Sus scrofa: one gene and its partner. The protein of the gene in region 2 purifies or fractionates together with the protein of the main gene of each other region. This does not show direct contact. Links are inferred from orthologs where the notes say so. Each region holds a gene or a part of one and is shown on either strand. Other genes may lie near its edges. The genes, in order: DYNC1I1 and NDEL1.

The links.
Region 1: the proteins of NDEL1 (region 2) and DYNC1I1 purify together in Homo sapiens (affinity purification with western blotting; 3 studies listed by BioGRID and IntAct, with this or other methods). This does not show direct contact. The link is inferred for Sus scrofa from reciprocal best matches to the Homo sapiens genes NDEL1 and DYNC1I1.

What each region holds. Positions count from the first base shown.
Region 1 is NC_010451.4:75,413,534-75,417,849, reverse strand, and holds the start of DYNC1I1 (cytoplasmic dynein 1 intermediate chain 1), read right to left. Parts: upstream 3,070-4,316; 5' UTR 2,894-3,069; intron 1-2,893. UniProt on the Homo sapiens protein: Acts as one of several non-catalytic accessory components of the cytoplasmic dynein 1 complex that are thought to be involved in linking dynein to cargos and to adapter proteins that regulate dynein function.
Region 2 is NC_010454.4:53,600,310-53,604,706, reverse strand, and holds the start of NDEL1 (nuclear distribution protein nudE-like 1), read right to left. Parts: upstream 2,904-4,397; 5' UTR 2,723-2,903; intron 1-2,722. UniProt on the Homo sapiens protein: Required for organization of the cellular microtubule array and microtubule anchoring at the centrosome. May regulate microtubule organization at least in part by targeting the microtubule severing protein KATNA1 to the centrosome.

The DNA of each region.
Region 1 (4,316 bases), on a different chromosome or scaffold from region 2:
AAAAAAAAGATACAAATGAACTTATATACAAAACAGAAACAGACCAGCAGACATAGAAAACAAACTTATGGTCACCCAAGGGGAAAGATGGGGAGGAAGGATAAATTAGGAGGTTGGGATTAACATATACACACTACTATATAAAGGATAGATAACAAAGACCTACTGTATAGCACAGGGAACTATACTCTCTCTCTATATATATATAACTGAATCACTTTGGTAAAATTAACACAATATTGTAATTCAACTATAGTTCAAAAGCAATAAATAAGCAAATAAATAAATAAAGATCACCATAAAAGAAAGAAGAGTAGAGTCAAACTGCCTGGATTCAAATCCTGGCTTTACAGCTTATCAGCTTAAAATTTTTCAGGAAGTTGATATTCTAAGTGTCTTAATTTCCTCGCCTGTCAAACTGGATTACAAATAACCTCTAATTCATCAGATTTTTGTGAGATTAAATAAATTAATACATAAGAAGTAGTTTAAAATGCAATGCCTGGTCAAGTGCTCAATATATTTTAGTAAATGTAACATTTAGCAAGGGCAGTGCAATATATTTAGTAGATATATTGAGCACTGCTGAAGTGCTCAGTATATTACTATCAACTTTTGTTTTACTTGATGAGGCAAAGTATAGGGAAAACAAGGTGATGAGAGAGTACAATTAAGTTTGCAGTGGATGTTTGTGACCTTTTCATCTGATGCTCTAAGGTGACAGAAAGAAATAAGGTAATCAGAGAGGATGAGTGGCTCATTGAGATAAATAAATGTTGATGAAGCCTGTGTACACCTTCTGTGCTAAGAGATGTCACTAGGTTTAAAAACTTGGCATACATCTTATAAGACTGTCCTACATGGCCCTTCTGAGTATGAACAGGGCAGCAACCAGGCTGGGTCTCCAAGAATTACTTGACTCAGCACTGGAGTCAAGGAAACACTCATTTATTAAATGTTGACGCTGGAAACAGTGTTTGGGGGAGTAGAAGGGGTGGGAAGAAAGTTCATAGAGCTCCCTCTTAGACATGAAACATGATGAGAGAAACACCTGGTAACTTTCTCTTGCCTTCTCAGTTCATTAGCAACTAGGGAACAGGGACCGCCACTGCAGGCACTCTGACCCATTTTCCTGTGGGTTGACTTATTTTCTCTGCCCATATCCTTAGTGATACCTACCTAATGGTGTACATCTTTAATACCAAAAATGCTTCAGGACATGTTTTTGGTAGGCGAGGAGGAAAAGCTGGGTGTGGGGAAGGGCTGAAGCACACCCAGGGCTTGGCACAGCAGAGGCTCAGCAACCCTGACCTCTGAGGGGAGAGGAAGCAGGAGCATAGGCGCCTGAGGCCCGTCATGATAGGGAAGAAAAAGAGGGATGTGGAAGATATTTGGGGCTAAAACCTGGTCCCAGAGCTGAAAAGGCTGAAAAAAACATGCATCGGGCCCCCAACTGTATTATCTAAACATATCAATAACTATGGTAGGAGATTTTTAAAAGAAATGGCTCTGGGCATTGCATCCTCAAACCTTAAGATTGAGGGGTTGGTTCCTGTGACTCCCTGGTTCTTCGATGACTTAGTGGTAGGGGTATATGATTTTATTTTATCAAGAAACATAGAAGAGCAGAGTTTGGGTCCTTTTTTGCCATGCCAAAACTTTGGGAGAAAATCTGGCATTTTATATAATCAGAGAAATTATTAATCACACCCCCACTAGATACCCTCAGGATGCAACTTGAACTGAAAGCAAACTTCAAATTTACTGATTCCCACAATGAAAATGTGTACAGAGGCAGTCACCCCTAACTGTGCTAATATTAGCCTATGATGTCTTTCTGCAGTTACCATGCCTCACTGATACTTGTGCTCTCTGCTAATCTGGAATATTTGGAAGCAATTCTGCACACCCTGAACTACAGTAAATCTACAGTGCCCACTTAAAAGGCATTTCGGGCAAGAAAATGGCTGGCTACTTGATCTGCCCCTTAACCTAAACGTGGGAGTGGCTAGGATAACGAATAATTTTCCGTCTCTTGCATTTGGTTGAGTCTCTGATTTCCTAAGTAATTTCCTGTCCTGATCCTGGGTTTCTGTTCTCATTACAAGTCATGAGACTCCCGCACACTCAGTTCCCATCAGCGCCACCAGAATCACTGCCCCTACGATGACGACGCACAGACTTATAAGGCCAGGGCGATGCGGGAGTGGGAGTGGGAGTGGGGGAAGGAGAGCCAAGGGGCCCCGAAGGTGTTTACTAAAACACATCCCCCAGCCACACTTTTTTTTTTTTTTTTTTTTTTTTTTTGCAGCAGTTAAGAAAAACTGGCACCTTCTGGCGTTGAGCGTTTAATTAATGCCTTGCTGGAAGTGCATTCGCTTCCCTCCACTTGGCGGGTAGCAACAGCATCTTTGAGCTTTGCAGACAGCTGAAAACATACTCCAACAGCATCCACTCCCCTCCCACTGCAGCTTCCCCCTCCCCCAGGGGCCGTCAGCTGTTGGCCCAGAGGGGTGCGGATTTCACTGCCGCGAGCCTTCTGCTCCCCAAGCGAAACCCGAGGCGGGGCGCACTGGGACGCCTCTGCCAGTCCGCAAGGTGGGCGACAAGGTGATGACACCACGACTCTCTCCTCTGCCCTCGCCTCGCGGCTCTGCCAGAGGAGCTGCAGCAGGGGGCGGCCGCTGGGGAGCTCTGGCTGCTTTCGGGCGCCGCGGAGCACGCAGGAGCCCAAGATTCGGAGGGGACAAGGTCGGCTGCGGCGGCAGCAGCACTACCGCTGCCCCGCGGCTCCAGAGCCCAAGACCCCGGGGAGGGGAGGGCTGCGGAGGGGCGCGTAGGCGGCGGTCCGGAGCGCACTGACCCCCTCCCCCGCCGCCCCCCTTCCGTTTACCTGCACGCCGGCTGCCGCGGCGGAACTGGGTTCGCGAGAGCGGCGGCGGCGCGGGCGCCCGAGCGTTTCCCGAGGGCGGCGGGCCCGGCCGCGCAGGATGTGCTGTCTCACGCTGCGCCGGCCGCTCAGCTCGAGCTCCTCCGGGACCTAGCACTTCCTTTCCCCAGCCTGCCACTGACAGCTCCCTGGGAGCACCCAGTCTGGGACTCGCCCCGCCCCTTGCCCACGCCCTCCACGCCCCGCGCTCCTCCTGCGGGAGGGCCCTCCGCACCCGGTCTCAGCTGGGAGCGAGTGGCGCTGGTCCAGAAGCGGATGAGAGCAAGGGACCTGGGGAGTCTCTCCATCTATCCCTATGCCACGGGTAGGACTCACCTAATTGGCTGCTAACGGAAGAGCTTTGGTATTTTGGGAGCTCCTGCTGACAGGCTAGCATGGAACAACTTTCACTCCCTGACAACTACTTAGGTTATTTAAATAGAAGTCAGAAAAGCTCAGATCCATCTGCTGCACACAAAGACTTATAGATTTATCCTTAGGTTTTCCCAGAAGAAAAAAAATATATATTTAGCTTGACTCTACCACATTGCTTCTTAAAGTCCCAGCTTTTAAAAGTTGGGCAACCTAATATTCTCCATATAAGTGAAACAAGTCGAAAAAAACCAAATACTGTATAATATCAGTAGTAGGTGGAAAAAACAAAACCAACTAGTGAATATAACAAAAAAGAAAGAGATTCACAGAACAAATTAGTGGTGGGGGGGGCAAGGAGTAGGGGATAAAGAGGTAGGAACTAGTATGTATAAAATAAGCTACAAGGATATGGTGTACAACATAGGGAATATAGTCAATTTTTATAATAAGTGTAAATGGAGTATACCTTTAAAAATGGTGAAAACCACTATACTGTACCTCTATAGTATATGGCATTGTATAAGCAGAACCCTATGAGGCTTCCAGGGATACACCCCTCCTCCATATCCTCTCCTTTAGCTCTTCTCTGAAGTACCTAGATAACAGTACCTAATGCATTTTTCCTGAGTTGTTTTACAGATGCTAAAACTCCCAAGTGGAAGACATTAACTACTTGATGACTATGAGCATATAGCCCTTAGGCCTTCTGGAGTTTAAGGACTGATTATCTTAACCCTGTGACAAGGCCGTTACCTCAACATTAACCCATCAGAGAATTATGCATGACCTGATCGTGCATCCTGGGGCTCCTCTCCCTCACCTTGCCTTTAAAAACACTTTGCTGAAACCCACTGGAGAGTTCCAGCTGTTCCAGAGTGTTGATTGAGCGCTAGACGACTAGGATGGTGCCTTACAACAGATGGCTGAGCTTTCCCTCACCACAACCCCCTGTCAGTAGATTGGCTTTATTATGCCATGGCAAAGAGACCCAAGTTTGTATGTCAACTATACC
Region 2 (4,397 bases):
ATAAATTTTATTATTTTAAAAAACTGTGGTTCAGTTGCTGACCTCTGAAGTACAACCACAAAATAAATGCGCTTCAGAATTTATAACAAATGACTCCTTAAAATTAATCACTTCTGGAAGCTATGTGCATATTTCAGTGATACCACCATTACTGAAAACATTTCTACAATCTCTTTAGAAATAGCCTTAATGAACTAGATTAAAAACTAAACAAAAAGCTCTTTCTTTGTGGTCCCACCTCGCTTCAACTGCTTCCTAATATCATCCAGCTTTATCACTCTAATCACGCTAATTTTATTCATCAGATTTATTCTTTCCAAAAATCAGATTTTTTTTTTTTTTTTTTACAGATAACAAAAATGTGCTGCCACTGCAGATATTCAAAAGATGTTCTCAGGGGCAATAAAGACAATCTGTTCATTTTGCTTCAAGTTACAGCAGGAGGATGTGTTCACTGTGTTATCTGAAACTTTGTAACTGGAGATATCAGGCTATAGAGAGTTGGCCAACACAGAAAACTACACTGCTAAAAACAAATAAATAAATAAATTAGCTTTAATGACACATCTATAATCTTGAAGCTGAAATGAGGGTAGATGATCATATACTCTTTGCCGATACCCAATCTTCCCTCAACGCCACGTCTCATGGATGGGGCGTCTCATGGATGGGGCGTGACCCCGAAACAACTCTTACCTGGGTCATTAGCATACGGTATATGACCTTCAGCTGTCTGGCAGCTGACAAATCAACTCATTACGGCATAAAACAGCCTTTCAAAATGCTGTATTTACAAAGAAACTATTCTTTGTGCAATGGTAAGAAAATTCATTTTATATGAACTGTCTCTTTGTTGATCGTTGCAGAATGGACTCCTGAGGCTGGAAAAGTTCTTCTGGAATTCACCGTAGATAATAAATACCTTTTTACGAAATTCTTCTACTTCTCCCAAAAGTAACAATTACAGAATTTCAAACTTTTCAAAGTTGAGCATAAATATGGTCTCCCTCTTGGTCCTGACTTATTTTTCTACCTTATAAAGAGCAAAAACTTATGTCAGAAGTAATTTTAAGCTTTAGTAACCAAATTTACCCCAGCATGACTTAACATGAAAATAAAAATAAGTGTTGGAGAGATCATGAAAGCAACATCTAAGTTTTTACTGAGGTTTCTACTTATTTTAAGCATTCCTCACCCAATTTCAATTTATTTAATTAAAAAAACCTAAACAGGGAATTCCAGAGCAGTAGCGTAGTTAGATTTGGGGCTTTCACCTGTGGCCTGGGGTCAATCCCTGGTCTGGGAACTGAGATCCCACATCAAGCCACTGCACACCACAGCCAAAAACAAAAAATTTACGCCAAAACAGGAAAAAAAAAAAAAGCTTCATAAGATTTAGCAACTTCTATCTGAATCAGGTCAATGTGAAACCAGGGCTGGCCAAAGGGGGGATTTTGTTCCTTATGACATCTGATTTTAAACAACTTAATAAAAATTCAGAGGAAATATTTTAGTTCCCTTTTATTCTCTTCAACACGACTTAATGCTGCATTTTACCCCCCCAACTTCATGACTTAGCAAAGCCATTACCCTCTTTCATAAACAAATTAAAAGCAACACAACTTATCAGACAAAATAATTAGCCAACCGTGGACAAGTTTCAGCGTAGGATTTTTCTTAAAACTGAGCAGCAATCCTCATCCTAGGTGGGTCTGCTGAAAAAAATTTGAATAAATCTTCTACTAGCTTCTGGTATAGTTCTGGCAAGTCAAATTTACTATTTTGCTCTCCAGCTGAGAAGGATGTAAAAATCTCACGGAAAGAAACCACAACTCCAGGCAGGGAGACGCAAATTCTGAACCAAGAGAAGCCTCTCACTGGTTGGTGGAATCCACAGAATAAATCACCAAAACCCCCACCCGACCTGGTCTCAATTTCTCTATGGGTAGAATCACAGACAACCACTAACGAGGTGATGAGGTTCAAAGCCGAGATAACAAGGGTGTTCTCAAACGTGTAAAGGCGCCTAGAGAAACGTAATGAAATTATCCGTGAAGCACCCTCAATTCCCAGGCAAACCTTAAAAGGGTCACTTCGTTGCTTACCAGCTAAAAAACAAAGGCGAGTACAAGCAACCCGAACCCGTTTGGTGACACTTTCCTGAACTCCGAGAGGGGTAATTAGCAGTTCGGAGCTGGCAATCACAGGAATGCCACCGGAGCTCAAGGTGGGCAGCTTCCGCTCTCGCCCCCCGTGGGAGAGAAGCAACGAGAATTCAGAATCCAACCTGGCTCCGAACCACCCTCCAGATGAAGGGATGCGGGATGGGGGCTGGGGAGGGGGAGGGCTGGGCGCGCCGCTGCCACCTCCAGCGGAGCCACCCCTTGCGCGACCAGCTTCCCGGCCCACGGTGCCACGTCCCGGCCTCCGTCCCCGCCATCCCTCACCCCACCCCCGGATGCGGGCACATCCTCCGGAGGCCGCCCGGCTCGCTCCCTTCCAGGCGCCCCAGGTGGGCCACACCTCGGACCAGGGCGGGGAGGGGGCAGTTAGAGCGGTTGAAACAGTTGGCCCCGGACTGGCCGCCCCAGAACCCGGGCCCGGCCCAGCCCGGCGGGGGCTCGGACACAGCCCCCGGGGCTGGCAGGCTCCGCGGGGACAGGCCTCGGCGCCGTCGGCCGGGTCCGGCGCCCTCGGGAGCGGCCCCGCACGGCAGGCTCACCTCCAATGTGTCAAAAGCGCATGTTCGCCACCGCTCGACCGACGTCTCCGCTCCGCTGGCCTGGCCAGGCCCGCCCAGCCGCTCGGCTCCGCTCCCCGCCGCAGTCCTGAGCTCCACTCCGCGCACCTCCGCGCCCGGCTCCTCCCCGACACGTCAGAGGCTGCCTGGGTGTCCGAGGCCATTCTGTGACGCACGGGGGCGGGGCCCGAGCATGCGCACGAGCGCGCGGGCGGCTAGGGCGGGGCTGTGGCAGGGATGGCGTCACACGGGGCCGGGCCGGGCCGGCGCGCTGACGTCAGGCTGGCGGAGGCCTTCTGCGCAGGCGCCCCGGGCCCGCGCGGCGTGCCGTTTACGACTTTCGCGGGTCCCCGGAAAGACTCTGCGTTCCGGAAAGTGGCACTACCGTAGATGAGAACCCGCCTCCCAGTTTTCATCCACCAAACCCTACAAGTGTCTGTTTCGGGGTTCCCGTTTGAAAGAAGAATCTCGGCTCAGATCTCACATCCGAGTCCACCCCGACCACCCAATACCGTACCAGGTGTATTCTAGCACCGTCACACTCTCACACGGAGCTATGTCGGTTTAAGGGCACGTCCACTAGCTGAAATTTTATGCTACTTCTTGTCTTCCTCCAGTAAGATGTAAGTTCCATGAGAACCGGAACCTCATTCCTTGCTTATCCCAGCAGATAGCTTGGTCCCAGGGTGGGTGCTCAGATATTTGTTGAATGAGTGAATGGATTCATTGAGGGCACCAAGGGAATATAAATATATCCATGTATATGTACATATGTGCGTACGTGTTTTCATCCCTTCAGGGCCCCCAACTAATGGAATCCATATATATGTACATCCCCTAGGAGACTTGGAGAAGAAGACTTGGGGGTGTGGAGGGAGAAGGTGGGGAGAGACTGGCTCAGAAAGGAGAGAAATGAAGGGCAGCTGATTAGTGTGTGGAAACTTGGAGAAAGAGAAGTGTTTTAAAAGCAATTTTAGGAACTTTGGACGTTTCACGTACCCTGTAATTCTCTTATGTCAGTGCTCTTGGGACTGGATTTGTGGGGCTTTTGGACACAATGATGTGTTGGTACGAGCCTCAAGGCATGGACATAAAGGGGAACAGCACAAAATGGATTCTAAGAGATGTCCAGTGAAAATCTGAAAAGTGATTTGGGGTGTTAGAAAGTATGGAACTTTGAGTTAGACTCTGAAGGAGAGCAGGTTGAACAGTTTACTTTTGCTGTGCCCTTTGTATGTACTGGCAGGTGTGCCAAAGGCTTTGTCTGCATAATTCAATTCTCACAATAACCCCATGAGATAGGTACTGTTATTATTCCCATTTTACCAATGAGGAAACCGAGACTAAGCGAGATGAAGTTGCCCAATGTCACTCAACTAGAAAAAGGAGTTTTCGGAGTTCCCTTCGTGGCTCAGTGGTTGACGAATCCGACTAGGAACCATGAGGTTGCGGGTTCAATCCCCAGCCTTGCTCAGTGAGTTAAGGATCTGGCGTTGCCGTGAGCTGTGGTGTAGGTCACAGACACAGCTCAGATCCCGCGTCTCTGTGGCTCTGGCGTAGGCCAGTGGCTACAGCTCCAATTCGACCCCTAGCCTGGGAATCTCCATATGCCGTGGGAGCAGCCCTCAAAAGGCAAAAAGACAAAAAAGAAAAGAAA